Xenopus tropicalis: one gene and its partners. The protein of the gene in region 4 interacts with the protein of the main gene of each other region in a pairwise test. Links are inferred from orthologs where the notes say so. Each region holds a gene or a part of one and is shown on either strand. Other genes may lie near its edges.

The links.
Region 1: the proteins of ap1m1 (region 4) and entr1 interact in binary tests that used the Homo sapiens proteins (3 or more experiments, as listed by UniProt). The two-hybrid records come from large-scale screens. The link is inferred for Xenopus tropicalis from reciprocal best matches to the Homo sapiens genes AP1M1 and ENTR1.
Region 2: the proteins of ap1m1 (region 4) and tgoln2 interact in a two-hybrid assay, tested with the Homo sapiens proteins (2 studies listed by BioGRID). The link is inferred for Xenopus tropicalis from reciprocal best matches to the Homo sapiens genes AP1M1 and TGOLN2.
Region 3: the proteins of ap1m1 (region 4) and mtf1 interact in binary tests that used the Homo sapiens proteins (3 or more experiments, as listed by UniProt). The two-hybrid records come from large-scale screens. The link is inferred for Xenopus tropicalis from reciprocal best matches to the Homo sapiens genes AP1M1 and MTF1.
Region 5: the proteins of ap1m1 (region 4) and ap2b1 interact in binary tests that used the Homo sapiens proteins (3 or more experiments, as listed by UniProt). The link is inferred for Xenopus tropicalis from reciprocal best matches to the Homo sapiens genes AP1M1 and AP2B1.

Annotation. Positions count from the first base shown.
Region 1 is NC_030684.2:6,497,709-6,504,311, forward strand, and holds the start of entr1 (endosome-associated-trafficking regulator 1), read right to left. Parts: upstream 3,682-6,603; 5' UTR 3,478-3,681; coding exon 3,420-3,477; intron 2,735-3,419; coding exon 2,622-2,734; intron 1,906-2,621; coding exon 1,522-1,905; intron 1,335-1,521; coding exon 1,261-1,334; intron 1-1,260. Other genes in the region: pmpca (mitochondrial-processing peptidase subunit alpha), read left to right, coding at 3,844-3,890, 4,521-4,726, 5,301-5,380, 5,488-5,570, 5,655-5,749, 5,925-6,025, 6,165-6,428, 6,501-6,593. UniProt on the Homo sapiens protein: Endosome-associated protein that plays a role in membrane receptor sorting, cytokinesis and ciliogenesis. Involved in the endosome-to-plasma membrane trafficking and recycling of SNX27-retromer-dependent cargo proteins, such as GLUT1.
Region 2 is NC_030679.2:126,815,399-126,821,894, forward strand, and holds the start of tgoln2 (trans-Golgi network integral membrane protein 2), read left to right. Parts: upstream 1-2,684; 5' UTR 2,685-2,723; coding exon 2,724-2,793; intron 2,794-6,496. UniProt on the Homo sapiens protein: May be involved in regulating membrane traffic to and from trans-Golgi network.
Region 3 is NC_030678.2:83,692,018-83,697,834, forward strand, and holds part of mtf1 (metal regulatory transcription factor 1), read right to left. Parts: intron 5,156-5,817; coding exon 4,917-5,155; intron 3,714-4,916; coding exon 3,582-3,713; intron 2,450-3,581; coding exon 2,376-2,449; intron 1,337-2,375; coding exon 1,203-1,336; intron 1-1,202. UniProt on the Homo sapiens protein: Zinc-dependent transcriptional regulator of cellular adaption to conditions of exposure to heavy metals. Binds to metal responsive elements (MRE) in promoters and activates the transcription of metallothionein genes like metallothionein-2/MT2A.
Region 4 is NC_030677.2:98,841,453-98,847,269, reverse strand, and holds part of ap1m1 (AP-1 complex subunit mu-1), read right to left. Parts: intron 3,784-5,817; coding exon 3,627-3,783; intron 2,007-3,626; coding exon 1,939-2,006; intron 1,107-1,938; coding exon 976-1,106; intron 1-975. UniProt on the Homo sapiens protein: Subunit of clathrin-associated adaptor protein complex 1 that plays a role in protein sorting in the trans-Golgi network (TGN) and endosomes.
Region 5 is NC_030678.2:93,513,818-93,520,136, forward strand, and holds the start of ap2b1 (AP-2 complex subunit beta), read left to right. Parts: upstream 1-2,438; 5' UTR 2,439-2,632; intron 2,633-6,319. Other genes in the region: pex12 (peroxisome assembly protein 12), read right to left, coding at 1,336-1,461. UniProt on the Homo sapiens protein: Component of the adaptor protein complex 2 (AP-2). Adaptor protein complexes function in protein transport via transport vesicles in different membrane traffic pathways.

The DNA of each region.
Region 1 (6,603 bases), on a different chromosome or scaffold from region 4:
CAGCGGGGTATTTATATAAACTATAGTAGGGTTTCTGTAGCAAACACCCCAGCTGTACCGGTGCAGGAATGGCTGCCCCCGGGGCTACACAGCGGGGTATTTATATAAACTATAGTAGGGTTTCTGTAGCAAACACCCCAGCTGTACCAGTGCAGGAACGGCTGCCCCCGGGGCTACACAGCGGGGTATTTATATTAACTATAGTAGGGTTTCTGTAGCAAACACCCCAGCTGTACCGGTGCAGGAATGGCTGCCCCTGGGGCTACACAGCGGGGTATTTATATAAACTATAGTAGGGTTTCTGTAGCAAACACCCCAGCTGTACCAGTGCAGGAACGGCTGCCCCCGGGGCTACACAGCGGGGTATTTATATAAACTATAGTAGGGTTTCTGTAGCAAACACCCCAGCTGTACCGGTGCAGGAATGGCTGCCCCCGGGGCTACACAGCGGGGTATTTATATAAACTATAGTAGGGTTTCTGTAGCAAACACCCCAGCTGGACCAGTGCAGGAATTGCTGCCCCCGGGGCTACACAGCGGGGTATTTATATAAACTATAGTAGGGTTTCTGTGGCAAACACCCCAGCTGTACCGGTGCAGGAACGGCTGCCCCCGGGGCTACACAGCGGGGTATTTATATAAACTATAGTAGGGTTTCTGTAGCAAACACCCCAGCTGTACCAGTGCAGGAACGGCTGCCCCCGGGGCTACACAGCGGGGTATTTATATAAACTATAGTAGGGTTTCTGTAGCAAACACCCCAGCTGTACCGGTGCAGGAATGGCTGCCCCCGGGGCTACACAGCGGGGTATTTATATAAACTATAGTAGGGTTTCTGTAGCAAACACCCCAGCTGTACCAGTGCAGGAATGGCTGCCCCCGGGGCTACACAGCGGGGTATTTATATAAACTATAGTAGGGTTTCTGTAGCAAACACCCCAGCTGTACCGGTGCAGGAACGGCTGCCCCCGGGGCTACACAGCGGGGTATTTATATAAACTATAGTAGGGTTTCTGTAGCAAACACCCCAGCTGTACCAGTGCAGGAATGGCTGCCCCCGGGGCTACACAGCGGGGTATTTATATAAACTATAGTAGGGTTTCTGTAGCAAACACCCCAGCTGTACCAGTGCAGGAATGGCTGCCCCCGGGGCTACACAGCGGGGTATTTATATAAACTACAGTAGGGTTTCTGTAGCAAACACCCCAGCTGTACCAATGCAGGGCAACGATGGCAGTAATAATGACTGAAATATCTTACTTTTCATTCTGGCTGTCGTTCAGTTCCTTCAGTTTACAGATCTTGCTCTTTAGATGGAGATTCTCCTCTTGTAGCTGAAGAACGATAAACCAACAGAGGTGGAATGTAAGAATGTAAGAAGAGTTGGGCATCTGGTTGTTGAATCAATGAAGCAGCTGACTAAAACAATGGCTTTGGTTTCTTGCAAATACCTTATCTGGGATATTTGCCGCTGGAACGGATGGATTTACGTAAAACGCAGCTGAACGTTTCCTCACTTACCTCTTCACAGTTTATCTGTAGCAGTCGCAAACCCTCCTCGGAGTCACTGGTGCTGTCAGGGCGATGTTGGGTTTTCCCATGCAAGCCGGCAGGGGGAGACGGAAGGACAGCCTGTTGCCAACCTGTGATTAATCCATCGCCAGACATGTCGCTGGCACCGTATCCATAAGACTCATCCCCATCAGTGCCAGCGGGAGAGGGAACTTTGGGACCGTGAGTGTTTTCTATAACAGAAGGGTGGTAACTGCCACTCCAGTCGTCATCCTCATCCTCCTGTAAGTCATCATACAGCGTCGGGTCTCTGAAGTACGTCTCTTGGAATTCCAGATTCCCATCTGGGCATTCGCTGGGTCCACGAAACTGTGTTGTGGATTGGTTAGAGTCCTGTGGGGGGGAGATTACACTGTAATTTTAAATAGTGAGCAACGGGCAATATAGGGAATAATGTTGCATGACCATATAAAAGGAACAGTAACAGGAAAAAATAAAAATGTTATAATTAAAATATAATGTAATGTTGCTATTTAATATTGTTATATAAATACCCCGCTGTGTAGCCCTGGGGGCAGCCATTCCTGCACTGGTACAGCTGGGGTGTTTGCTACAGAAACCCTACTATAGTTTATATAAATACCCCGCTGTGTAGCCCCGGGGGCAGCCATTCCTGCACTGGTACAGCTGGGGTGTTTGCTACAGAAACCCTACTATAGTTTATATAAATACCCCGCTGTGTAGCCCCGGGGGCAGCCATTCCTGCACTGGTACAGCTGGGGTGTTTGCTACAGAAACCCTACTATAGTTTATATAAATACCCCGCTGTGTAGCCCCGGGGGCAGCCGTTCCTGCACTGGTACAGCTGGGGTGTTTGCTACAGAAACCCTACTATAGTTTATATAAATACCCCGCTGTGTAGCCCCGGGGGCAGCCATTCCTGCACTGGTACAGCTGGGGTGTTTGCTACAGAAACCCTACTATAGTTTATATAAATACCCCGCTGTGTAGCCCCGGGGGCAGCCATTCCTGCACTGGTACAGCTGGGGTGTTTGCTACAGAAACCCTACTATAGTTTATATAAATACCCAGAAATACACAGTACTCACCTTAGAGAAAGCCCTTTTACTATTACTGGAAACGAATCCTGGAAAGGTCTGGCTCTTGACAAACTCCTTAAAGGAGAATGGGTTGGCTTCATCCAGGGCTTCTGCTTCACAGTCTGCAAAGAATAAAACAATTGGTTGTCAGCTTGATGCGCCAGATCCAGGTTTGGACCAGGTCTTCGGGACACCGGGAAAAATCCTGGTGGGCCCCGGCGGCCCAGACCAGACCCATGATACATTAAATTTACACGCGCTCAGGGGAGGACGTTGGGTGGGGGACCCTGCGGGGGGTTAGGGGGGCCCCTGCGGGGGGGGGGTTAGGAGATGCGGCCAGCAAGGGCACCTGCAGGGCCGCTGGACCCCCCCTGCACCCTCTAGTCCTACCCTGACCGGATCAATACATTTCCTTCTCCGATCGAGCATTATAAGGGTCTCAGGTGGGGTGATTTCTAAGGAATTCAACCAAGACTTAACAACTCTCACAAACTAAAAACATATAGGAAGGTTCTGACACCTGAAAATGTGCAGCCAACATCAGTTCTCTATGACAGTCAGATGGCTTCTCCTACATCGCTTCAGGAGTCAGAACCAATGAAGACTGTGGGCAGAGTTCCCCTTTAGAAGGGTACATGCAGGGATTTTTTTTCCCCTCTGCGGCTTCAGATGGGGTTTTTTTGCCTTCCTCCGGATCAACTGGCATTTAGCCAGGTTAAATATAGGCATTAAGGTTGAACTTGATGGATGTGTGTCTTTTTTCAACCTAACTTACTATGTTACTATAAGGTTGATACTGATACTCACCGTCCTCTATGATGAGGGTCTTGCCTTTGGCATGTGGCTGCTTGGAAGATCCAGACATGGCTGTATCCTGGGCAACAAGGCACTTGGGGGGGCTAGCAGGGGGTGTGGGGGTTACAGGCAGCAGAGCCCCTCATACCTTCAGCAGGGAATGGTAGAGATGCCAAGCAGGAATGGGCAGGTAAAACATTAGGAAATTGCTAAAGACTAATGGAGTGGGCACTGGGCTAGTAGCACTCAGTAAGTGGGCACTCATGTGAGTGAGGGATACTCAGAAGGCTGCATAGAAGTAAGAGCAAGCTGCCAGCTACTTCAGTTCCTCCAGGCATGTTCCCCGGAAGTGACGCTCCCGCCCCACCGGAAGCAGGAAGTTATCCGGCTCTCCCCATGCCTGTGCTGAGGAGGTCAGGGGGCGGGGCATGGAAAGATGGCGGCGAATGTAGCGAGGAGTCGGCTCTGGGGTGGAATACAGCGGTAAGCGGGGTTTTAGTACGGCCTTTCCTTCCTGCCTGGGGTAACGGGATGGGACTTACCCCCGCCGGTAGGTGACAGGGGCTGGGTCTCCCCGCATTGGAGGGAAATGTCACGTGATGAGGGGGGTGTTTACATAAGAACATGATCTGGGTGTGTAAATACCCCAAGGCGGGGTGGCTGATGGCTTACATTCTACCCTGGGGGGTATTTTAGACTATAAGAGCCGGATATCCTGCTTGCAGCTTTACACTTGGCTTTGAACTGCAGGCTGCCAGGGCATGCTGGGAGTTGTAGTTTGGCTATGTCAGGGGCAAAAGCAAATTGCTTACCCCTGCAAGGAGTTGTGCTATGGGATCCCCCAAAAAGAGAAATAAAATAAAACAATCCCATTATAAGTAAGGGCAGAAGTAGGAGTTGCATGGGGTTGCATCATATAGTAAACAATCTGCTCCTGGGCTGAGGCTTTGCTGCTAGACAGGTTCCAACCCTGCACAGAGATGGGGGCATGACTTGCACTGACTGGGGGGGCTGGAAACTGTGCTCCAGTTCAGTGAATTGGTTGCTATGGTCAATAAGCCTTAGCAACTAGCTAGCTGTATATGTGGGTGAAATATCGGCTTTGCGTTTCAGATATGGACTGCCAAGGTACCGGCGCTACAGCAGCTCCGGCAGTGCCTACCCCAGCATCCCCCTCTCCACGCCCCTCCCCAAGCTCCCCAAGCCCATCTTTGCCAAAGTCGACGGGCAGGAGAAATTCGAAACGAAAGTGACCACCCTGGAGAATGGGCTACGGGTGGCGTCGCAGAACAAATTCGGGCAGTTCTGCACAGTTGGGAGTAAGTATGATGGGCAGACCCAGGGACACTGCCATGATGTTTATGGGGCACTTTTTTCTCTAAATGACACTGTTACACAGCAAATAATTCCCTCTGCCATTTAACCTTTTATTCTTCAACCAACAAATGTATTTGTAGCTGTAATATTGGTGTGTAGGCGCCATCTCAGTGCCTTGTGCCTGAGTCTGAGCTTTCAGCCAGCGCTACACATTAGAACTGCTTTCAGCTAACCTATTGTTTCTCCTACTCCCATGTAACTGGAGGAGTCCCAAGCCGGACTTATATTTCTTACTATTGAGTGCTATTCTGATACCTACTGGGAGCTGCTATCTTGCTCCCTTCCCATTGTTCTGCTGATCGGCTGCTGGGGGTGAGGGGGGGGGGATATCACTCCAACTTGCAGCGCAGCAGTAAAGTGTGCCTGAGTCTGAGCTTTCAGCCAGCGCTACACATTAGAACTGCTTTCAGCTAACCTATTGTTTCTCCTACTCCCATGTAACTGGAGGAGTCCCAAGCTGGACTTGGATTTCTTACAGATAAGAAGGTGTGTAACAGTGGGGTGTTTATTTCACAGTTCTTATCAACTCCGGATCGCGGTACGAGACTAAATACCTCAGCGGAATCTCACACTTTCTGGAAAAACTGGCTTTTTCAGTAAGTACCGGGGCAGCGATGGGTGCAGGGGCGTGGGGCACCCAGTGTGCGGGTGTGAGCGGGCACGTGACTGCCGGGGCCCATCCCGACTAACCATTGTGTTCCAGTCCACAGCGCAGTTCGGCAGCAAAGATGAGATCCTCCTCACGCTGGAGAAACACGGAGGCATTTGTGACTGCCAGACCTCTAGGTAAGTGACTCTTGAGTGCCAGAAAGCAAGTCAGTGTTGGTGCAATTGTTCCTACTGAGTTCCTATTGTCGGCCTCCTTTTCAGAGACACCACCATGTACGCCGTGTCTGCGGACTCCAAGGGCTTGGATACAGTCGTCAGTCTGTTGTCTGAGGTGGTTCTGCAACCCAGGCTCTCCGGTAAGTGGCTATGAGCACTTCGGTTAAAGGGTAACTAAACCTGTTATTCCTTGGAAGGACAGCGGCTGTGATATTAAAGGGATATCTTAACTCCCTGCCAGAAAGCAACCTCCTATAAGCACCCAATTAGGTTTTACTGCCCGTTGGACACCCACCTAACCTGCTTCCCTTACAGAGGAAGAGATTGAGATGACCCGTATGGCTGTCCGGTTCGAACTGGAAGATCTGAACATGAGACCGGACCCGGAACCCCTGCTGACAGAAATGATACATGCAGTAAGTACTGTCCGTATATCCCACGTGGCATTTATAGCATTGAATATGGTGGTTTTTATAAAGGGGGAAGCAATTTTCAGTTGCACTCTTAACTTCCTGCTGTGGGAGTAATAGACTTTCTGCATAATTGTTTCTCCAGGCTGCGTACCGAGGGAACACAGTGGGGCTTCCCAGGTTCTGCCCGGTGGAAAACATCGACAAGATCAGCCAGAAAACCCTGCACAATTACCTGCACAACTACTACACCCCCGACAGGATGGTGCTGGCCGGCGTGGGCATAGAACACGAGCACCTAGTGGAATGCGCCAAGAAGTACCTGCTGGGGGTGGCGCCGGTGTGGGCGTCGGGGAAGGCCAAGACTATCGACAGATCCATTTCCCAGTACACGGGGGGGATCGTCAAGGTAAGTGAAAGTCACATGACTGGTGTCGGTGAGTCCAACAGAGTCAGTGCTAACAGTTTGTCTGTCTGTCAGGTGGAAAAGGACATGTCGGACGTCAGCCTCGGCCCCACCCCCATCCCAGAACTCGCCCATATTATGATTGGCCTGGAGAGCTGCTCCTTTTTGGTAAGTCTTC
Region 2 (6,496 bases), on a different chromosome or scaffold from region 4:
TTGGTCTGAACAGCCCTTTTGAAACCTGGGCTATCAGGGTCAATACCGGAAGGGTGGAAACCCTAAGCAGAGGAAAGCAAATAATTCAAAAACATTAAAAAATACATAATGAAGACCTGTTGCAAAATTACTATTAATAAGACATTCATAGACAAACATATTAAAAGTCACCCCTTTAAAGCCAAAATGGAAAGTGGTATATGTAAAGTATGATGATTCTCAAAGCCTAAATCTGTATTTCATTGGTCATTATTTATCAGGCCTATTTGGACCTTTGTGTTTTTGAAATGCCAGGGCCTATCTTAGGCTGATGCCACACGTGGCATTTTTACGCTGCGTTTTTTCTCAGCCTAAAAACGCAGCACAAGCCACACAGCCCCTTACTATGGCGTTTTTCAGCCTAGTACTAGTGACGTAGCAAATCCCGTTTCCATGGTGCTAATAGTGCAAAATAGGAAAAAACGTGGCGTATTTCCGCTAGATCTGGCAGCTGCCTTTGTGTATACATAGGAATAGCTTGCTTTGCAAATACTGGCGTATTTCGGCCAACGCTTGAAAAATCCGTGCTAAGGCGTTTTCTAGCGTATTTCCGCATTGTGTGGTTTGCTTCGAGTCTTTTCAAGTTATTTCTATGGATGATGATATCAGGCGTTTTTCAGCCGCCGAGAGAATTAGAAAATACGCAGCGGAAAAACGCCTCGTGTGGCATCAGCCTTAAACTCATTCTAGACCTGATATGGCCCTGTTGTTTTAGGTAGGGATGCACCGAATCCAGTATTCGGTTTGGGATTCGGCCTTTTTCAGCAGGATTCGGCCCCATCCACGCCTCTGGCTGAACCAAATCTGAATCCAAATCCTTAAAATCATGTGACTGTTTGTCAGAAGTTTAAATTTTTTCACCGTGCACAAAGTGTGATTCTCTTTAAACCTTCCATTTCCTAATTTCCAAATTTGGATTCGGTATTTGGACAAATCTTTCACAAACGATCCTAAAATTGTGGATTTGGTGCATCCCAAGTGTTAGGGTCACTGAAAATCAGTATTTAATACTATTCTGTGTGCAAGAGGCCACCAACAAAACCCTTTCTTTTAACCTCAGCCTTAGGCAATCTGTGACCCTGTCATGAACTACAAACTATATTTATCATGCTGTGTAAAAAGCAGTGTACAGCGTTACCAGCGATGTTGCCCAGGGCAACCAATCAGCAATTACATTTCAACAGTTAGAAAACCAAAGCAAAGCATCTGATTGGCTGCTATGAGCAACTTATACCCCTTAGGGTCATGTGTACTAAGATTGGAGATAAATATCACTAGTGATGTTGCCCATAGCAATAAATCAGCATTTAGATTTGAACTGTCACCTAAAAGTCAGAAATCAAGAGCAAGATCTGATTGGTTGCTACTGGCAACATCACCAGTAATATTTATCTCCAATCTTAGTAGTCTTCAAATATTAATTGAATACTGGTGTAGGGATCCCCAGACTTGAGCCCCTTAGATGGGTTCCCGTTAGGCACTAGAGGTTGGATTTTTTGAGTTAGACACCTAAAGGTGGTCCTAGGTAGGATCACTTGGTGGGAGTACCGTGGGTAACCCAACAGGAGAGAGGTTCTCTAAGACTGAAGTTAAGGAGACAGTGCCCTGATGAATGTGTTCCACTCCTGGAGAGGTCTGCCCTGAATAAAGAGATTCATCTCGTTCACTATACCCACTTGTGTCTGTCTCTTTCCTATCAAGGGATCACCTACTGGCCGGTAAGCAAATACCCCAAGGGAGGGGCAAGGTGCAGGGAGTTGTGTGGAGTCCCAGTCAAGGATTAACGTACAATATCAAGTTCCCAGGGTTGTGAGTTATGGTCTCACAGTATCACCCCTGGGTGGAGGCCCACCATTGAACTGTACAGCACCTGTCCCCCATAGTAAGCGGGGCTCAGGACTCCTATAGCCAGGGGCGGCCAAGCCGACCGGCACCCTAGGCAACCCGGTCGGCCAACTCAGCCCACCTCCCCGCGCATGCGCATGCCAAAGCACAGGAGGCAGTGCAGGGGGGGGGACGATTAGATCGGTCATTGCCTCCGCCGCTAATGACAAGCGGCAGAGGCAATGACAAAGTAGCACTAGGGGTAGGCAGGAGAGGCTCCTGCCTGGCGCCCCTCAATCGTTGCGCCCTAGGCAGCTGCCTCTTCTGCCTACCCCTAGTTCTGGCCCTTCCTGTAGCGCCAAAGTAATAGCAAGTAGCAGCACTGCCAACTAAAGTGGGCTACACTGGGAAATGGAGGGACTAAGGTTACCAAACTCAAAAGTTGTCAAGCGGGTCACTAATCCAACATCACCCAAACTGATCCCTATACCTGTGCCCAGGCCTTGTAAATAAGTGTCCACTCCGTCACAGAGAAATTAAATCTTCAAATACATCTATAAGGTATATATCTCATTTAGTGAAAGTTATATATATTAGCCAAGAATAGGTTTTTTACATAATTGCCATAGTTATGCATGACTAGGTGTAATAGCAGCAGCAGCAGCAGCAGCAGCAGCAATAACATGAGCAGTTCCAAATCATGCCAAGGCCGGCCATATTAGTACACTCACCGTCGAACATTCAAACGCCGGCGATACATCCGTAGCACTGACTTCATTCAAGGTGTAGAAAGATGGCGGCGCGGATACAGGAAAGCGGAAATACCTATTTTTTTTTTATCTCACTTATTTCCTGTAACGATGGCGACTAAGGCGTCTTGGTTGTTGCTTCTGCTCCTTGTTTCGCTGAGCGCTGCGGATAATGGCGAAGGTGAGATGCTTTAGGCTTCAGCTGTGGGGTTTTACCTGCTGGTTTTGGGTGGGTTTAGATGCCTCAAGGCAAAGCTTTATGGGACTGATGCGTGTACCTTCCGCCTTCCGCCCACCAGTCTCTGTCACTATCGTCATTGGCTCCCGGCCTAGATACACTCTCACAGCATTCGGGCTTCTTGTTATTGTGGGAATGAAATAGGTTGTGTGGGGTTTCCCTTGTGCTCATTCTCTTTTCTCTTATGTGTTTGCTAATGGCACCTGTATTCTAACTGGCACTTCCTTTACCAATTAATGGTATCTCATAGAACTATAAACTGGTTTTACACAACCTTGGCTCACAGCAATGAGAGGTTATGCCTTAATGGCACAGTAAAGGTGCCTGTCACCCACATTATTATTATTAATAATCAAGCAATCAATAACTGATACAAGAGGTGAAGCACATATAAAAAGATATGTAATAAAAGTCCTTCAGAAATTAAGCATGTAACCCAAATTTTTTAATTAAATCATCCATACCTGTTATAAATAGACTTAAAAATCTGAGCTGTCAATCATATATTGCCTGCCCCGCCTCTATGCCTCCGGCATAGAGGCGGGGCAGGCAATATATGATTAACAGCTCAGATTTTTAATTACAATTACTTTAACTTTCCATTCAGCACTTCCTAGATATCACCTAGATGGCAGATTTTGGGGTGAAACAAAGCTTGCCTTAAAGGAACAGTAACACCAAAAAAGTGTTTTAAAGTAATTGAAATATAATGTACTGTGGCCCTGCACTGGTACAACTGGGGTGTTTGTTTCAGGAACACTACTATAGTTTATATAAATACGCTGCTGTGTAGCCATGGGGGCAGCCATTCAAGCTGGAAAAAAGGAGAAAAGGCACAGGTTACATAGCAGATAACAGATAAGACACCATTGTATTCTACAGGGTTTATCTGTTATCTGCTATATAACCTGTGCCTTTTCTTCTTTTGAATGGCTGCCCCCATGGCTACACACCAGGGTTTATATAAACTTTAGTAGTGTTTCTGAAGCAAACACAAAACTTTTACCAGTGCAAGGCAGCAGTACATTATAGTTTAATTTCTTTGAAATATATACATTTTTTGGTGTTACTGTTCCTTTAAAGGAACAGTAACACCAAAAAATGAAAGTGTATAAAAGTAACTAAAATATAATGTGCTGCTGCCCTGCACTGGTAAAAGTTGTGTGTTTGCTTCAGAAAGTCTACTATAATTTATATAAATAAGCTGCTATGTAGCCATGGGGGCAGCCATTCAAAGGAGAAAAGGCACAGGCACATAGCAGATAACAGATAAAACACTATTGTATTCTACAGAACTGATCTGTTATCTGCTATGTAACCTGTGCCTTTTCTCCTTTTTTCCAGCTTGAATGGCTGCCCCCGTGGCTACACAGCAGCTTATTATATAAATTATAGTAGTGTTACTGTAGCAAACACACTAATTTTACCAGCGCAGGGAAACAGTGCATTATATTTTTATTACTTTAAAGCTCTTTTATTTTTTGGTGTTACTGTTCCTTTAATAAGCAATTCCAGTATGTCTTGTTAGAAATGGTCAACTCAGCAATTATCAGTAAAACTGGTGTGTTTGCTACAGTAACACTACTATAGTTTATATAAAAAGCTGCTGTGTAGCCATGGGGTCAGCCATTCAAAGGAGAAAAGGCACAGGCACATAGCAGATAACGGATAAGTTCTGTAGAATACAATAGTGTTTTATCTGTTATCTGCTATGTGCCTGTGCCTTTTCTACAGCTTGAATGGCTGCCCCCATGGCTACACAGCAGCTTATTATATAAATTATAGTAGTGTTACTGTAGCAAACATACCAGTTTTACCAGTGCAGGGCAACAGTGCATTATATTTTTATTACTCTAAAGCTCTTTCATTTTTTGGTGTTACTGTTCCTTTAATAACAGTGTTCATAAAATGGCGGCTTTCTGCTTGCCGTGACTGTAAATTCCAAGACTGAAGGGAAAAAAAATTATATAGTGTAAGTAAAGTTTATTTTGCTCAACTAACATGATAGAAAATGATTTGGAATTATTTCTTAGTGTGACAGGTCCCCTTTAATCGCCTTAGCAGAGGCACATCTGAACCTTAATAGCAATGTCATGGTTAAAACATGGCACCTAGAGAATGGTGTTTTAACCCCCTGGGGCCCACCACGCTACTCAGGAAAACAGGCAGCAAATAGGGCACTATACCCCCTTTCCACTTTATTGCAGTGAATCTGTTGGTATTGAACATTCTATTTTCCTTTTAATTAGATGTTTTTTTTATCTCAAGCTCTAAAAGGGCTGAAACTGAAAGTAAAGCCAAATTCTACTTCCTGGTTCTAAGGATACAGTGAAAACAAACAACCAGTCCACTGAGAATCACACCCTCTCTATATAAACAGATTTACCCCAGCTGCAGCCTTTGTTAGGCATAAGGATTAGCACATCATTGTCTGGAAGGTTTCTTATTGATTATTTTTTTTTTCTATAACCGCTATGTAAAAATAAGGAAATTGGTATGACTCTCGGGCTAATGTCGCAATCACAGATGCCATTTCCCCACTAGAAGCTAGCATCTACTTGTTAGTTACTTGGCCCAATTCAGCCTCAGAGTGGCAATCTGGCATCTTACAGCAGCTTCTTTGCCAGAATCCACAAAGACAGTCACTGTTTAGGGTGAAGACACACAGAGCAACTTAATAGCAGCTACTTGTCACGGCTACTAAACTCCAGAAATACCCTGCCATAGACAATACTGAGAATTGCCTCTGCTAAAACACAGAGACAGTTATAAGTAAACGATCAGCATTGTCTATTTCTGTAGCTATTTCTGTAGTAGCTGCTACTAGTGTGTCTTCACCCTTATTGGGCCTGTGTTTGGCTCTTTGGCCTCTGTGTTCCTGAATTTTCAGGGCCTGTTTGGTATCTCAATCCGGGCCTGGCCCACTGTTTGCCTGCTTTGACATAAATTGGATGCATCTATCCCTAAAGGTCCCCATACACGGGCCGATAGTAGCTGCTGATATCGGTCCCTTGGACAAATTCGGCAGCTTATCGGCCCATGTAGGGGCAGAAACGAGGGGCCTGCCTGGCCAGATATCGATCGGCCCGGTTAGAAAATTCAGTCGGATCGGGGACCGCATCGGCTCGTTGATGCGGTCCTAGAACCGACTTCCCCATTGCTGCCCACATAATCCGATCGTTTGGCCCCAGGGCCAAGCGATTGTTTTTTTTTTTTACCTAAACGCTCCCCGATATCGCCCACCCATAGGTGGGGATATCGGGTGAAGATCCGCTCGCTTGGCAATGTGCTTGTGTATGGGGATTTTTAGCAGATAAAAATGGTAGGGGGTTGAATCAGTGTTTTCCAACACCTGCCTCAGTACATTTGCTCTAATGTTTGATTTGATCCCTGAACTGGAATTTAAAATGGGGCATTTGAGCTTTTCTCTCCAGTCTTACAGTAGACTGATTCTAGAATCATTGGCCCACACTGACTTTGGCTACAAAAACTCTAGGACTAATGGGGCTAGTACGTTTTACGTTTATTTTGGGAAAACAAAACATATAGTCAGTTTAATGCTTATGTAGAACTTTGTATCCTAGATTTTAACAGTCTGTGGGTCACAGCTTGTTTTGACTGCAGTAGTCCCTCTCAGTGAGAACTT
Region 3 (5,817 bases), on a different chromosome or scaffold from region 4:
GCGCACGAGGGGATCTGTGTGCATGTTGGAATGAATAAAGTATGTGAGGGGGTAAAATTACACTGCCATAGCACTTATTATGGTAATCAATGAACAGCCTCTTTGAAATCTTTCAATACCTGCCACGCTGGTTGTCCAGAGGTTAATAGTAAGGCTGCAGCATCCCCTCAATCACCTAGATTTGCTTCTCCTCCTGTAACCCACTCGGTCCCCTCCTTCAGAAATTTGCTTTGGCTGTTGGCTTGTGGGCATGCTCAGTTGTTCTAAGCTCAGGTTACTAAACACGCCCCCAGTCTAGCAGCCAGTAAAGAGATGGCATTGCCATAGAAACTCAGCTCTAGCTGTCTGCTTTAGTTTTTTTTAACTCAGCTTTACCATTACAGTGCTCAAACAAAGCAGAACTTTTATCAAAGACAGTTTTGCCTGTGTGAGCCTGTATTCTTGATAAAATGTATGCTGAATAAGAGTTTGTGTGTGTGTGTAGGCTGTTTTCAGATTTAAATGTATCCAATTATGTTTCAGAGGAAAAATGGCCACCAGGTGAAAGCTGCTATTTGGTTTAGGAAAATGTGATGGTGCTGGCAAACGGCGGGGATATATGCAGTACAAATGATGCCATTTGGGTGGGGGAAACGTGCCCAACTGATATACATTGTAGGCAAATGTAGGCTTTACATGTCCTTTAAGAACAAATCATTAGTTTCAAGGTGCAACTCATGGAAGTGGTAGATGCCTCTGTATTTGTGTGTGCATGGGTTCCTCTGTTTGTAGGTGACTACATGTATCGGTTAATGCATATGGGTGTATAAAAACCTAAAAGGGTATATCACGGAAACACAGTTTTTTGAGTGAATAAGTGCATATATGTATCTGTGAATGGGTGCATGGGTACCTGCAAAACTATGTCATAGGACTCCTTTTTCCCCCTCAAGCAAATTGGGAGAAAGGATTCAGACTATTCTTTTCTTAAGTTGAATAGAAATTAGTAATTTTCACTAGGTTTTTTTTTTAATGAGTTGTTGCCATTGTTATTGCTTTGTAAAGAAAATATTGGAGCATGACTATGTCTGCAATATTACGGAGAATTAAGCGTGTATGTACCTGCTGGATTACAGAAGATTGTGTGCATATATGTGCATTATGTAAAAGATGGGACCCTAAATGAGAGCTAAATGAGAAAGGTTTAATGACGATTGTTATACCTCGCATGATGTGTGGTTTGGTAATGATTCCTCCAAACCAGTAATGTCATGACCTTTCATATGACTCTTCAAACTATACTGGGTGCTGAATGTCTTCTCACAGCCATCACTGGTACATAAAAATGGTTTTTCTCCTAGTAGTTGGAAACAAGGGAATAAGAATGTGTTACTATGGGTGCAAAAATGTTATAAAATAAGAACTAGACATTCAGAGCCCAATTTGCCAATTCAGCAAGAAGATCAATTACAGATGTGGCACCAAACACAAACTGACCTTTACTGGCCCAGGATGCTCTGTACTTTTGCAAGCAGGTGGGATAGTAACCTGCTTATTTGCCCTATTCTGTGAAGGAAAGCCCTGTCCCTCCTACTGTATGTACCCATCACAGCATTTTTTTTTTCATGATCCCAGCTGATTTTTACAGCCACACGCAGAGAATGTAACTCTAAAGAAATATACCCTAATCCTGTGAGTCTTGTTCTTCATAATGTAGAAGTGATACTGTGGAACGGTGTGTGTAGAATTGGTATTTTGTTATAGGTATGCCTATACAGCTTTTACAGGTACATCAGTAATATCATGATGCCAGTGTAAAGTAAATCTTAATTTAACAGAAGCTATATGCTTCCAACCAAAGCCTATAACAAACAGATCTATTTTATTAATTTCTTATGGAGTGTGGAGACTAGGCTGCGTCTCACAGACTCCAGCCCCACGCAATATAGGATAAAGTCCTGATTTGCCCAATTACCTTTTACTTTCCACTGCATGCCCTCCCTATTTATGTGTTTCTAGGTAACATCAGACAGGAAATAAAGAGAGTTCTAGATACCAGTGAATTTGTGCATTTACTACCCAGTGCAAGAGGTAGCACAACAAATAAGAGCTAAATTCAGGACATGCTTGAGGAGGGTAGTGCGCGAGGAACCTCATATGGACAGTGTGGCAAATCTTGGGTTTCAATATTATATGTCATAAAAGAAAATATAATTACCTTTCGTTAGTTTTAATCACAGCAGGTATTTTCATGTAAATTAGAAAAATGTTGTGTAAATCTATAACCTAATCGCTGGGAGCAGTAATTGCTTATTATCAAAAGTGACAAACATTGCCAATCCCTGATTATATTCTTCCCTTCTGTGTAACACACCCACAAATGCTGTTTTCTATACCTGTATGCTTCCTGGCATGCGTTTTAAGGTGATGACTTGCAGCAAATGCCTTTCCACAGCCATCATGATCACACCTGCACAGACAGAGTAAATTACAAGAAACAACCTGAATTTAAAAACACAGAAAGTAAATATAGAATGGCACATTACATTAACCCCTTGGCTGCTACAGACTGTAAATGATATGTCAGCGGCTGTAAACGACATGACTGCTTATCATGTAGGATTGATGTTTCTGTAGACACCCCCTTGTCAGACAACTGTTGGTCAGAAACACTGACTGCCATGATTGCAAAGCAAATAGCAGGGAGTGATTCTGAATGTATTATCACCTGCCCCAGGAGCTATTTACTAATGCAGCGCCTCTGCATGTTCAGCAAATAATACTAAAATATACCCTATAATCTCGATTACAGCTGCATAAATGACAATAGCAGCCCATGGAAAACACAGTTATAGAGATATTCAGCAAATTAGAATTGTGTGCCTGTTGTGATGTGAATCACATGTTTATGATAAATTTACAAATGATTATGTATCATAACAAAAAATGATCAGAATATATTGGTCACTCTGCTAAACAAGTTGTGCAAACCAACAATGCAACTTCTTTGCCAGAACTCCATGATAACTGCATCCGCCATAAACATGTGCAAAATACTGAGACTATAAAGATCATGGCGAGTTAGAGGGTTGGCTGCGCTTTTCCCCTGTGATGTAGAGGGTGGCATGTGGGCAGGGCATAGGTGCTCTGACATTTTGTGTGATACTGAGTGCCCATAGATGATGCAACATGCATCCTTTACCAAATACATGGAGAGATCTGCGCCTTGGCCTTTATGCACCAAAGTGGGAGCAAAGGCAAAGTGAAATATGACGCCTGCAAAACCCCAATGGCACATGGGGCTTATACTCTACCAGGGTATTTCAGAAGCCAAAACCACCACTGCTGTGTGTCTCACTTAAACAGGAAGTGCATGACAGCATGCTGAAATACACAAGTGCAGAAGTTGCCCATGTGATACAGTACCAGTTCTACTAGCCCCTTCCCACCAATCTTATTTAACATTAAAAATGGCTTTGAATATTTCCAGTTCAATTCCATACTAATATATTATTAGAAGTATTCGTTCCTTCAACTGTCCTTACTGGCACAAAGTTACAAAAGAAAACAAAAAACAAGCAGTCTAAAGAAATGAGACCAACCTAAATGGTTTCTCCCTGGTGTGGGTGCGAATGTGCTTCCGCAGATCACTATGGGTGGTAAAGAATTTACTGCAGCCTTCTGTTACACAGTTAAAGGTTTCCCCTGTGTGAAGCCTTTGGTGTGCTCTTAACCTGCAAAAAAAAAAAATAAATAGTGGACCTCTTCAGATTAGTTTAGCAAACCAGAAATAAATGGTACATGGTAGCATTAGCATGACTTATATCCCTTCAGATATCACAATATATTGTATTTAGGGCACTTTAGTTTTAGGCTACTGTCATATGTCGGCCTTGGTGCAGATACGCAGAGTGGATCTTGGTAACAAAATGCATACTCACACACAATACAGTACCAAAATCTGCTCAATGTGCCTGCAACCGGGCCAACGCAGTGGCTCCTGATATAGTCACACATGTAGGGTGAGGCAAGCATAGGGGCCTGCGTTTATCAACAGACCAAGAATCACCCTGGTCTGGCGGTAGCCTTAGTGATGGAGACATATATGTGTTATATTTCCACCTAACCCTGGGCAAATTTGCAGCTGGACTGTAACCCATGGTAACCAATCAAATTTTTGTTATCATCATTCTGCCTGTAGCTGGCTAAAAAAGTATTATCACTTGTTAGTTGCTATAGGTTATTGCCCAGTGTCCCACTGTATGGAATTCATTATACTTTGATGTATCCCAAGTTATTACAAAATACTAGCTAATTCTCCCTCTTTCTACACACCATATGGTTAAGAATTATAATATAAAGTAAGCTTGTTGTTTTAATTTTGTTCCTAACATATTATCACTTATCAACCAAACTACATCTATATACCATGAAATGAAGATCTGCATATATGTATAAAATTGTATACTAAGAATATACATTTGCATATTTTACAAACTTTTTTAAACACGTGTGCTTAATATTGTAACAGCACACACAACAATTTTCAATTTCACTGAAAGTCTCTTTCCACTTTACATCAGGATGTTCTTGTCTGACCAGCTGAATCAGTTGCTCATTAGCAATGACAGCTACAAACCCCACCCAGGCCAGCATGTGTACAGAATATCTCTCCTAGCTTTTAATATTCCAGGCACAGAGTTGTCTCAGCAAGACAAGCCATGCCCCCTGTTTCCTGAGACAGAACAAGAGCCACAAAAAGGCCACTAAGCACACAGACCGCTTAACTAACTGGTTACACAAAAGATTTGTGCTTAAAATATCTCCAAAGTAGGCATATAATGTTTACTAAAGCTTTTTACACAGTTACAATGGACAAACATTTTGTGTTAAACTACTGAGCAAGCCTTTGGTTTTGGCAAGCAAAGCATTCTCACCTGTACAGGGTGTTAAAAGCTTTCTCACATCCTTGCACATCACACTCAAATGGCTTTTCCTTAGTGTGCACGCGGACATGGATTTTCAGGCTATAAGATGTAAGAAATGCCTTCCCACAGCCTGATTGGTTGCAGACAAAGGTGTATTCTCCACGATGAGTCTTCTGGTGAGTCCGCAGGTTTCCAGCTGTACTATATGTCCGTGGACAACCTTCAAATGTACATTGGTATCTCTTCACCTGTAACAAAAACAAAGAAAGATGCAAAAGATCAGCCTCTGCCTAAATTCAGGGTGTTATGTTACAGGGGGCAGTATACACCCTTTTTTCAACATCAGTTCAACTTTGTGTATATTATTTTTTTTTACTCATATAGAGCACCACAACAGGATTTTTTTTGTTTTAAAACAAAACAAAAACAAACAAAACCTTCATTTGAAAAAAAGGGCTGTGTCCTGAACAGCAGCAGCTATACAGGTCACAGCCCTTTCTTTCAAATAAAGGCTTTTAAAGATCCTAAGATCCTGTTTATAAGTAAAATGGCCTTAATGCACCAGTGGAAAATAGCCATTGTGCAATATGCACAATCTAATCACAATGTTTTTGTATGCTACACTGTCAAATGTTGTAACAGGGGGTAGAAGCAGCATGATACAGTTTACATATAAAATAAAATTACGCTAAACTGCTACCCCCACTCTCAATTGTCTGTGTGATGCTGTTTTGCTGGGTGGTCTGTGCAACAGGAGTATATCACAGACTGCTTCATGTAATCACATGCTGCTTCCTTTCATCTACTCTAAAACATTCAAACTTTTCAGTCATGTGAGCTACAGCCATATTTAATTCAGAATTCCATTAGCACATAAGAAAAAAAAATACTAATCACAGGTGAAAATCCT
Region 4 (5,817 bases):
TTTAAACTATTTGAAAGATTTGCAGCACATTGAAATATAAGTTATTCTCAAGAAGTCATTTAATTTGACCCCCGATGCAAATGCAAGAGCACTTAGGAGCACAAATGCATGCCCTTACTACTCAATCAAAAAGCACTTACCTCTGGGATCTAGTTACCCTCTGCATCTAGCACTGGATTGCAAATCTAACACTAGGGCACATAGGAGTCCTGTCCTTCCTGCCAGACATTATTGTCAACTTATGGGTCAGATAGGTGACAGGAAGGGGGTGCCTAATTGCCCCTCATGAATACAGCCCTGTTCCCATGAACATCCCATTCACATTGTTTTGCAGGAGTTTCTCAAGATTCAGGGCGCAACGTGCAAAAACACTTTTTTTGCTCTTACCTGCAGTTAATAAATGATCTCTTGTGTATATAGTAAAACATTGGGGGCAATCGACATGTCATTACATGCGTCACTTACACAGTCAAGCATGCAAAATAAGTGTAATCCAAAAATAAGACTTATAATACAAAAGTAAGAGCTGCCTTTTCTGCAGTTAATAATTTCACAAGTCCCTGTTTCTTTGTTGGCAAAAATAAATAAATAACAAAACCATTGCACATCTACTTTATAGCTAGGATCTTAGAATCAGAATATTTTCAGAAATAATCATAATGACTTTGTGTGGCAAACAGCCAAAGTGATTGGAAAAGCAGGAAATAAACAGGATCTGTGTTGTTTTTTCACTTCCCAATGTGCCAATACACTATACAATTGGCAGATTCATTTCTCAAAGGGGCCAATCAACAAAGTGACCAATATACAAAGTAATCTGATATTAGTGGGGACTGTAAGACCGCCATACATGTACTGAAAGTCACACAAAATTATGTATGAAACTGACCACCTTAAATGTTGTTTAGATGAAAAACCCTTTAAAGAAAGAAGGGACAGAAAAATGAAGTAAGCATGACTTCACCAGACACTTACTCTTGTAAGATTTTGCTGTCTGTGGTTTGAGGATAGCCAAAATCCATTAGCTCATCTAATAACTCATATATAATTACAAAATTATCACGGATACTTTCTTCTTCTAGCTCTTTAAAGTACTCAGAAAATACCTAGAAAATACAAACAAACAATGCAATTCAGTATGCCTCTTCCTTCTGCTTTAAACACAAAAAGTTCAATAGGTTTCAGACCAAATGTATGTCAAATGCAAAATATATGGACAAGTTATTGTAACTAACTGAATACAGCACATTATGCAAAACACTAAGTTAGGATATGACTATGCATAAAATAAAGAACAAAAAGCAATTAGCTATTGAGAATCAGACCTTTTTATTAGATCTAAAATTTCAGATTTTTTTTTCTCATTTCTCCTTCCATTATTGGTCCTAAGATGTAGCTGCTAATCTGCCATGTTGATATGATTATCTTCAAATTTGGAACAAATTGCTTAACAGGAAATTAGACTGAAATCTGTAAACCAGCTTTATTCTTCATTCATATATAAGCATATCTACAATATGGAGAACAGACCAAGCAGCTCCTAGTAGACACAGTAGGGAACACACTGGTATGGAATTTAAACTGTCTGAAAAACAGGTCACTACTCCAATGGTTTGAGTCTTACAAAGAATCTGCTGTGTGACCACACAAATTCCAGTCAGATCTTTAGAAACAGTAACATATCATGGTACTAATGGGAATGACTAATTAATTTAGTGGCCTCTTAACTCTCAGCAGACAAAGTTCTAATGATGTAGTTCATTTTATGTATTGTCCACGAGTATCAGAAGTCAAATGTTCTTATTAATGATAGTATAGTGTTTTTGGATTTGTTTGTATTACTAGCACCATTTAACTAGAGTGACTGCCTGAACCTTTTTTCCTTTTGCAGAATGTGTGAAAGAGACTGATACATATTTATTTACTCAAAATACTCACCTGGACTACTTTGTACAGAAAGGAGAATACCAACGATACACAGGCATTCTTTTTAGACGTTGCAACAACTAAATACTGTCAAGGTGAATATAACACAAAAATACAGATATACAAATGTTTCAGGTTGCAAACATAATGCATAATGGAGTGATATATATAACCAAACAGTGTTAATGAACATTTTAATATAGTAATCAGTAATATTGGGAAATGTTGTGTATGTGTGAAAGGGGGTAATTTGTTATTTTTTTATTATTACTATTTATGAAGGAGATCCCAAGCATGAGTGAAGCATTTCCTAATACAAAGTCATTTACTCAAGTGGCTCACCAGCCTCAAAACTACTGCTATAAATGGTTAAAAGGAACCTATATCCATGACACTTGCTTAATATGAACATGTGTGTTACCCAAAGTTTAGGCACTGTGCAAACTGAGCAAGTGTCCTGGCTTGTGGAACACGGTTCATAATTATGCCCCATAATGGCTGACTGCACATCTTTAAAGTAGTACTTTTTTTATCAATCTGAAATTTGGACTCGGTCAGCCATAGCTGCTCTTGGGGAAACAAATATTTAGCGATAAGTGCCCTTTTTGATGTCCCTATTTTGTTATCTAGAGGGTCGTACCTGATCTGAAATCACCTTTCTGCCACAAAGTGCAGTTCAGCAACTTAAGTCTGTACATCTGTACGGAAAAATAATTTGCTAGCTCTGTAAGATACTCACAAACTCACAAACCACTAGAAAAGCAAAATCCGCTAATAGATATGCTCCTTAAATGTTAGAGGTCAAACAATTCATTTTAGAGGCTGCTAGGTTTTATGCAGGAGAAATCATGTTAGATTATACTAAATTATTTACTCCGTTATCAAAGTCTGCAAAATATAAAATTATAATTCTGAGCCTTTAAAGGAGAATGAAAGATAAAATTCTTGGGGGTTCCAATTTGTTAGGCACCCCTCTAGTGACTATAGTAATCTCCAACCCCAGAGGCCAGCGTTCCTCTTGTTTAAAAACTCACTGGCTCAAGGTACTTTCACGCACTTTATGCTAGTGCTGTTTTCTTCAGTGCATCCTGCATGTGCAGTACAGAAATCTACGAATAAAGTCTGTACTGTGCAGGCACCTGCCCAGGGGATACTGGGAGCCCTTTAGAAGATGATGACATTCAGTATGTTACTCATATTCAGATTATATATATATACTCTAGAACATCTTAAAATGAATTGCAATTCAAATACAGTTAATGTATTTGAATACCTGCATTTAGTGTATCCTTAGGATACACAGATTTACAGGCTTGCTTACTATTGGGAAATAGAGCAGTTTAAATTTCCACCTGTCACACTGGTGCAAGTAGTGCTAATTGAAACAAAATGGCTATACTGCTATAAAGCCCTACTGCTCGGACCATGAATCCTGGATTGACAATAGAACTTAAAAAAAAAAAAGTAGTAACAGCAAGTCACCAGAGCCATTATACAGTCATCTATAGTGTGTGCAAAACAGTTCTGGTTTATTACCATGATATGTTTTAGACCACTCATTCGTCAAAACATTTTGTAGGAATAAACATTCTGATTGTGACTGAAGTAATTTAACTACTGAATTGGACCACTGTCAAAAAGATTTAGATTAAGAAAGAAAAACTCAAACAGACATAAAAACTACAAAACAGATAGGATACGGTATAGATTGTTGTGTTTAATCCACATGAACCGGACACCTCCATGCGCCAGAATTGGTGAAAGTGCTCCTTCTTCTTCTTTCTCCATCAAAATTGGCATGAAGTGCTCCACTTCTGACATGTCCACATCACCGCGGTAATTCCGGCAAATAAGGACCTTTAAAACAAACGGCAATAATGAGCAGGGCTCTCTTTACCTTCTGTATTGATCAGTATTTCTATTTATGCATAAATCCATCTATTGTACAGCACTGCAAAATAAGTTTATATAAAATAATAAAATTGTCATCATATTACAGAGGGAGTTACATACTACACCTGTGAATCTGCCCTTCTTAACAGCATGTGCTTTGGATTACTATATGTTCTAAACAACATTGCTTCCTTCTTTATATCATAATACAGAACCTTATTTTCTCTACACACTGCAAGTTTCACATTTCATGCATCCTGATATAGTCTAAATAAACAGAAGATTGGTTGTTCCTATAAATTCTCTGAGTGCACTGGTTTCAAACTCTGTTTACTGGCATGAGTGCATGGCACACAGGGAACATTTACTGCAACTTGTATACAATACATTGGTGGCCAAAACCTCACCAGTTTACAAAAACTGCTGATATATATGGAACACATTTTTTTTAATCTTACTTTCTATTTTGATCCAGTAACAGCGAACTGTATTTGAAATAAATTAGCTGGAAAAACTAGCCAAAACCCAACCTTCAGTGTATGAACAGAAAAAATATTTCAGCTGAGTGTGTTTGTTTAAACGTAAAATATCAACTATCACAGTATAACAGAAATCTCACTGCCAGCTGCCTTTGAACACACAGCTCCCATGGAAGGTTTCAGCCTTAGTAAGCAGTACAGAGCATCATTTTCTGCTTGCCTGTGAAAGCACAAAGCCACACAGCTTGGTGCTACCAATAAGAAAGCCATGACTGGGAACAGATTTTTTTGTGCTTTAATGAAATGGGCTCAGAACTGCTGCAAAGCAACCTCAAACCTGCCCAATGCCTTGCATTGTAAACAACTGAAATAGTGCAACATTTTTGGCATTACACTGAAATGCTTGAAAGTTAGAAAAATGCAGAAAACATTGTGAAAGTTGCTTAACTGGAATTGTCACGGAGAGGTTATACTTTTACATGACTGAAGCGCATCAATAATTATAAAGGAAAGCACAAAACAGCCATGCATGGGAACTGCTTAAAAGAAAATAATAATTACCATGGCAACAAAACAGCCATTGAGTTTGGGTCTACATAGTGCTCTATGCACTAGCCTAGCTCACTGAATGTTAAAGGGTAGCTCACCTTTTATTTTTTTTTTTATAGTTTTTTTTATTATTTGCCTATATTTCCTGCCTCTTTCCAGCTTAAAATAGGGTCATTTACTGCAACATCCCCTGTGAGTCTACAATTTTAGTTACTTTTTATTACTTATCTTTCTCTTCGGGCCCTTAACTATTCATCTTCAGGTCTCTTACTGAAATCATTGCCTGGTTGTTAGGGTAAACTAGAACCTAACAAACAGACAGCTGCTGTAATTCCTATCTGGAAAGCTGCTTGACCAAAAAATAAAAATAAAGGCACTCAGCAAATTATCTTAGAACATCACTGCATCATATGAAAGGGTCATTTAAACGTGACCTACTCATTTAAAGAAGTAGTAAGCCTGACATAGAAGAAGCTTTCTGGGAATGTACAGAGAAGCAGAAGCCAGTGTGCAGCAGCAGTTTTTTTTCAGTTCCCATACATAACTTGCCTGACTTACTGTGCATTCCCAGAAAGCTGCCCTCTTCCACTATAGAGAGCTGAACAGGAAGAGAGGCAGGGCTTCATGCTGTACCAGGAAGAAGAGGAAAAGAGCTGGAGATTTCAACTTATAAATCAGAAACCAGATCAGACTGAATGCAGGGACTAAGGTAAGTTATTCTGGGGGTTGTTTAGAGTCATTTTAAGACAGAAAAAAAGGTTTACCAGAAGCTTTATCAGAAATGTCTATGTAAATACAGCAATAAACACTCACAGAAACACTATACTGACTTATCTGTAAAAAGATTAGCTGTGTCTGTTTTCCTCTGCCAGAGACACACAGCTTTCAGCTCTCTCCTCTCTGCTGCTCCCCTGCTCCCCTCCTCCCTCAAGAATGCTAAGAACTCACCCCCCCCTTAGGAATGTGGATC
Region 5 (6,319 bases), on a different chromosome or scaffold from region 4:
TTTTATACCTAAACATTCTTGTTCTTTTGTATTCTGTCAAATGTGACTCCCCAAATAAGGGACTTGACATTTACTATATTCAAGTAGGGATCTTATCTGGAGAGTTGTATTATACTTTTACTCTCTCCTGTATATTGTCACATGACTGTGTACTTTAGTTAATATTTGTAATTATGCATGTATCTGTATTTTTAAGCCATTTGTAAGGTCTGAGGCAAGTTAAGTGTTATTCCCTATTGACTTCCAGACTATGCAATTAGAAGCTCAGTGTACTGGCACCCCTTTAGACTGCAAATTAATTGATTGTGTTCTCTGTTGAACGGAAGCTTTGTTTCAGTGAACCATTTTATACAAAGAAGCAAAGCACATTTAAATGCCACTGCTAGCCTAATGCTAATTTTATCCTTTTTAACATGAACCCCATGTTGTACAATATAGTGATTCACTGCATGCTGCTAGGCATCTGGATTTAAAGTTGACTATATCCCTGCTGATGCCTAGATTTAATGGTACGGTGTTAAATGAGGTGTTAAATATGTAAATATTTTATTTGCTCTGTTAATATTTAATTATCTACTCAGATGTGGTTTTACACATATAAACCTCTACATTTCTTACCATAAGGATATTAATACTGGGTGGTAACTTTATTATATGGTTGTCACTAGGGATGCACTGAATCCAATATTTTGGTATTTAGCCAAACCCCGAGTCGTTCGTGAAACATTTGGCTGAATACCAAACTGAATCTGAATTCGGATTTGCAAATGAAAATTAGGCTATGAAAGATTCCTGTTAAATCTTGGCAGAATACCAAACTGAATCCTGGATATGGTGCATCCCTAGTTTTCATTTAATTATTTTATTATGCATTTTACATTATTGCTAACTACATTGAAGTCCTCACTTTTTCTAGCAGTAATATAAAAGATATTTTTTGCACAGTTAATTACAATATAAATTGTGCAAAAAAGATCTTACAATCTATTTGAGGTGTTCCTGACTCTTTTCTTCTTTAGTTTACACTACTAGCAGGCTCACAAAAGGGTTGTGTGGGACAGCCATTTACAGGCAGCTAAAATGGCATTGAATAGCCAGATAAAAAAATCCACTATTGCAGGTTTACATAATAAACATTTTTTTAAACAATATAAAGAAAAAAATAAAGCCGGAAAATTGACAATATAAACAATCACAACTATACAGCAACGAAGCTGCAGGAAAAACACAAAGCTGTAAAATCAGACAAAACAAATATGAAATACTTAATTTACTTAAATGTGTAGTTAAAAAGCAATGTAACAATAGAGATTAGTGTTTCCAGTCTGCACTCACCTTCACAATATGGTGCAAAGCAGGCCTCACAGCTGCCATCAAACTCTCCTGAGCCACCACCTCAAAAATACTGGGCCGGTCATCAGACAGCGAAGTGGTGGTAATATGGGCCCCCCGCTCTGCCATTATGGAGGTTTAGTTCCGCTGCCAATATGAAAACTATTGCTGACTGCACCTTTAACCTTTTCCAGAATGTACCTGTTTAATCCAAGAAGACCACAATGTACAGTTACAATGCATTTGGGAAAAGAGGGAATTAGCATTCTTTACACCAGTGATCCCCAACCAGTGGCTCGGGGGCAACATGTTGCTCACCAACCCAGTGCTCCCAAACCAGGTAGTTATTTTTGAATTGCTGACTTGGGGGCAAGTTTTGGTTGAATAAAAACAAGATTTACTACCAAATAAAGCCCCCTGTAAGCTGATAGTGTGCACAGAGGCTACCTAATAGCCAATCTTAGCCCTTATTTGGCACCTCCATTAACTTTTATGTGTTGCTCCCCAAGCTTTTTTACATTTGACTGTGGCTCACGCGTAAGAAAGGTTGGGGATCCCTGCTTTACACAATAGACCAAGTGGAGCTGCATAACGTATGTCAAGCTTTGTGCTTACAAATACAATGTATGTACTTTGACATATATAAACTTAATGCACACTTCGGCAGGTATATAGCAAATATCGAGCAAACCAAAACAACCGAGCGGAGGAGTTCTAGGTTATCTATACCTGTCCCCCACGGCAGGCGATAAAGCAGTAACCGGGCCAAAGCTTGGAGGCCCCTACCATATATCTCTGTGCTCTACAAGAACCTGCATTACTGAGGTGAAAGATCGTATGTGCACACGTGTGCCCGTGCATGCGTTCCAGAGCCCTGCAGCGCACCCTTCTCTTATTGAGCAAACACTGGGAATTGTGCCCCGACCAAAACAATTACCATCTTGTGTGTATGAGAGATTCTGCTCAGTCCGGAGTACTTAATGTTCGAAACCGTCCCGTGGATCAGCCTCTAATAAATCCAATCCCCGCAACGCCAATCACAACATCGCATTCTCAACCTCGCAATTTCACAACCTGGAACGCAAAGTGACAGCAGGGATCACATCTTATTCCGGTTGTTGAGACGCCTTTCGCATTTCCGGTGTATGGAACGCAGATGGTAGTAGCTGTGTGTGAGAGCTGTGCTAGATTTCCGGGGCAGCGACCCGCACAGCGCCTTCTCCTCTCCCTGGGTTTCTCTTCATTCGGACATTTATCTCTCTCGTTCCTAAGCAAGTCTGTATTTTTCTGTACGTTATCGGTAAGTCGAAGCAATAAATCGGTGCTTGCCTTATCTAATAGAATAGCGGTAGAGATAGGGATGGGCAGGGCGCAGGGAGCCGCCTGGCTGCTGTAGGGTGCCTGCTTCGTGAGAATTCTTGTGTTGGGAGGTATGGTTATCGCAGGCATTTACTGCACACATAGAAGGTTGTTAATTCCAGGAGATCCATGAACACGTTTTGATTTCTATAAGCCACGATTTAATTAGCCTAAGTGATCACACGAAGATGATAATGACAATTCCTTGTCATAAAGCAAAATGACGCCTGATTTAATGTGTAAATAAAACAATAAAAGGCCATGTTTTTATCAAAGTCCTTTATTTCTCCATGGCCTTGACAGATCACACAAAATCACTTAAGTCAGACAGTTAAAAAATGCAAGGTTTATGTCAAGTTGCTTGGAATTGTAACTTTAGAATGACCACCTACGTTGCTGTCCGCTTCCCCTTAATGTCACCTACACTCAAGTGAGCATTGTTTGCTTCAGGATTCCCAAATAAAATGTCTTAGTTGTCATTAAGGAGGTGCCAAGTCCACTCTGGCAGAGCCAGATCACACCAAGCCTTCAATAACTTTGGTGGTGGCTTAGTTGATTTGCCTCCTGTGCCAAGCCTGTGCTCCACATGCCCCCCCCCCCCCCCCCCCAGCACTTATTTATGTTGTAATATAGTAGCTTGCCATGACTGGCTCCAATTACATCTTATTGTGTCATGTCACTCTTCTAAAAAATATATTAAATATATAACTGCCAATGTTATTGCCATTGCTCTGCAGGAATGTGAATTAGTATTGGAACATTGCTTTCATTCAAATTCGTTGCTTTTTGTACTGGTCTGAGATAATTGCTGGCTGTATGTGTTGCTGCTCCATAGGAAAATTACACTTGCTATCTGAATTCTCCCAAAGTCATTGGAGAATCCTTTGAAAGACACATTGAAATGAATTATATACTTGCAAGTACAAAACATTCAATATACTCTCTTATTTAACGTAACTTTAATCTTTTAAAGATATATATATATATTTTGTTAAATTTAAATTTTTTATTGATTTTTATAGCATAACAAACCATGACAGCACATACAGGTTAAAGTCATTTCTGACAGTAAAAGAGGATCAGGTTATACAGTATCTGTGTGGATATCAGTCTTAACCAGGTAGCAGTACATGAAAAACTTAAGCTCTTGTTTCAGTATTCAAGAGTTCCCTTTGTAAAGGGCCGTTCCTCGGCCCTGCGATACTGGTGCTACTTCCTGGGTCCCTTTCACCTGTTGTCACATTAAGTATTGATAGTGGCGTGCTGTCCGGTATTATTTAAACAATCAAAGTTAAAAATAGGTATATATAGAAAAAGGGTTTGAGGTAGAGAGGTAGTAGAGCATAGTAACTGGGACAGTAACTGGGTGAGAGAGAAATGGGGGGGGTGGGAGGGATAGGAAGGTCATTCTGCTCAGGAATTCTATGTTATAGTCCATTATTATTCTTTGGTCTCGTTGCTTTGGTACGGATAGGAGCCATCCGGCTACGATTAGTGAAGCTCGTTCTTTCTGTTTGTTGACGCCGGTCCAGGAGGTGTTGACTGTGAAGTTGTTGCTGGTGGAGATTCCCGCATCCCCGGTGCGGCCGTCGGAGGCCGGGGGGGGGGGCCCCGGGTCAGTGTAGTACAGGCTGTGATTGATTTTCATAATAATTTAAGAATCATAGGGGTCTATGCCTGAAGGAGTGGTTCAGGTGCAGAATCTTAGGCTGCAGCTAATTCTAAATATTGCTCTGAGTGTTTGAATTGGTTCCAATAGAACCATTTCTGTGTAAATTTTCTTAACTCTTTTTCAGATGTGGGTTTCAGCTCCTCAAATCTATAGATTTCCGACAGTTTATACAGCCAATCTTTTATCCTAGGGGGTTCAGTTTGGCGCCATTTGGTTGGGATTAGTAACTTGGCTGCATCTAACATAACTGGGAAGTAATTTTCCCATTTATTTTTAAAGCCATCTGAAGGGTTTGGGGATAGGTTTAGAAGGCATTTATAGAGAAGAGAGATTGTTCTAGTTGGTGTTTTTTGTTGATTCCAGATCTGTTCTATTTCTGTGAGGGTAGGTCTGGGAGATTGCATTTGGGCAAGGCTGGAGGAAGTGGCGTATCTGACGGTATCTGAACCTGTCCAAGTCTGTTATAGTACGGTTTGGTATCAGGTCTTCTATTGGTTTGATTTGTTGGCCTGTGTAGAAATAGTTTGCTCCGGAGTGTAATTGTAGTTTCCAGCCTTTAAAGTTGTCCAGATCTAATCCGGGGGGGGAAGTCTGGATTTCCAAAGACTGGGGTGAGTGGGGTAGGTGTATTTTGCCATTTGCCTGTGTTGGTTAAGTTATCCCATATGTTAAGCGTGTATTTTAGTTTACTATCTGATTTGTCTTTAGAGCTGGGCGGTATGACCAAAAATTTATATCACGGTATTTGTCAAAATTATATCGGTGTCACGGTATTTGATGGTATTTTTTTTTTCCATGCATGATTAGGTGTTACCCCAATTCCTAATAAATTAGAGAATAATTACTGCAGTATTGAAAATCAGAGTCAGGCAAGCGAAGGATCGGCAACATAAAGTCGTAAGGTAAATCAGGCAGGCTTAGTTTCCCAGGCAAGGCCGCAGACAACATAGCACAGGAGGAGGCGTTTGATAGCTTTAAATACCCCCCACGCATGCGCAGAACTGGCGCCATCAGCGCGTCGCGGACGTGCACACTTTGACATATACGTGCGCTTTGACGGACGCGTGTGTGCAACGTCCCGCGGACAATGGGACGCACGCGAGACCGGGCTGCGCGGGTGTGTACCCTGACACCCCGGTATTGCGGTATCTGAAAAATGAATATACCGTATATACTAGAGTATAAGCCGAGTTTTTCAGCACCAATAATGTGCTTAAAAAGGCACCCTCGGCGTATACTCGAGTATATACGGTAATGCGGGCTGCGCTCACCCCGTTGATGTGCATTCAGCGCTCAGGCGTTCAGGAGTACGCGCGCAACCACCACTCACCCCCTGCGCCGCTGCGCCAGCACGCACACATGCCGTGCCTTTCGTGTGTGCGCCAACGTTAAGGCTGGAGCAGTGCACCAAGGGGGAATGTCCGTGGCCAGCTCGCACACACGCCATGCCTTTTTGGTGCGTGTCAGGTTTGAGGCTGGAGCAGTGCATCGAGGAGGAATGTCTGTGGCCGGCTCGCACACACGCCGTGCCTTTCCCATGCATGTCAGGTTTGAGGCTGGAGCAGTGCAACGAGGGGGAATGTCCACGGGTCGCGGCTATAGGAGAGCAGGTTTTTAAATGTTATTCTAGTCTGGAATATGGATCAATAAAGGCATCTCATCAAATTATAACTGATGGATCGGTGCCCTTAGCTATATGACTTGGCTGCCTGATCTGTTTTGTAATAACTACTACAGTATATATTGCAGGTGATTCAGACTCTCAGCGCTCCAGTGTCATAAATGCAATATTTGGTTATTTACAGGGACGCACCATTCTCTATGGGGGATGGCCTTTCCGTAATTTGGAGCTAATAATGTTTTTTTCAGATAATGGATTCCATACCTGTATGTCAACTTGGGACAATAACTAAAATAGCTTGGTGATGCAGTAACTAAAGCAGCCTTGTGGATCTT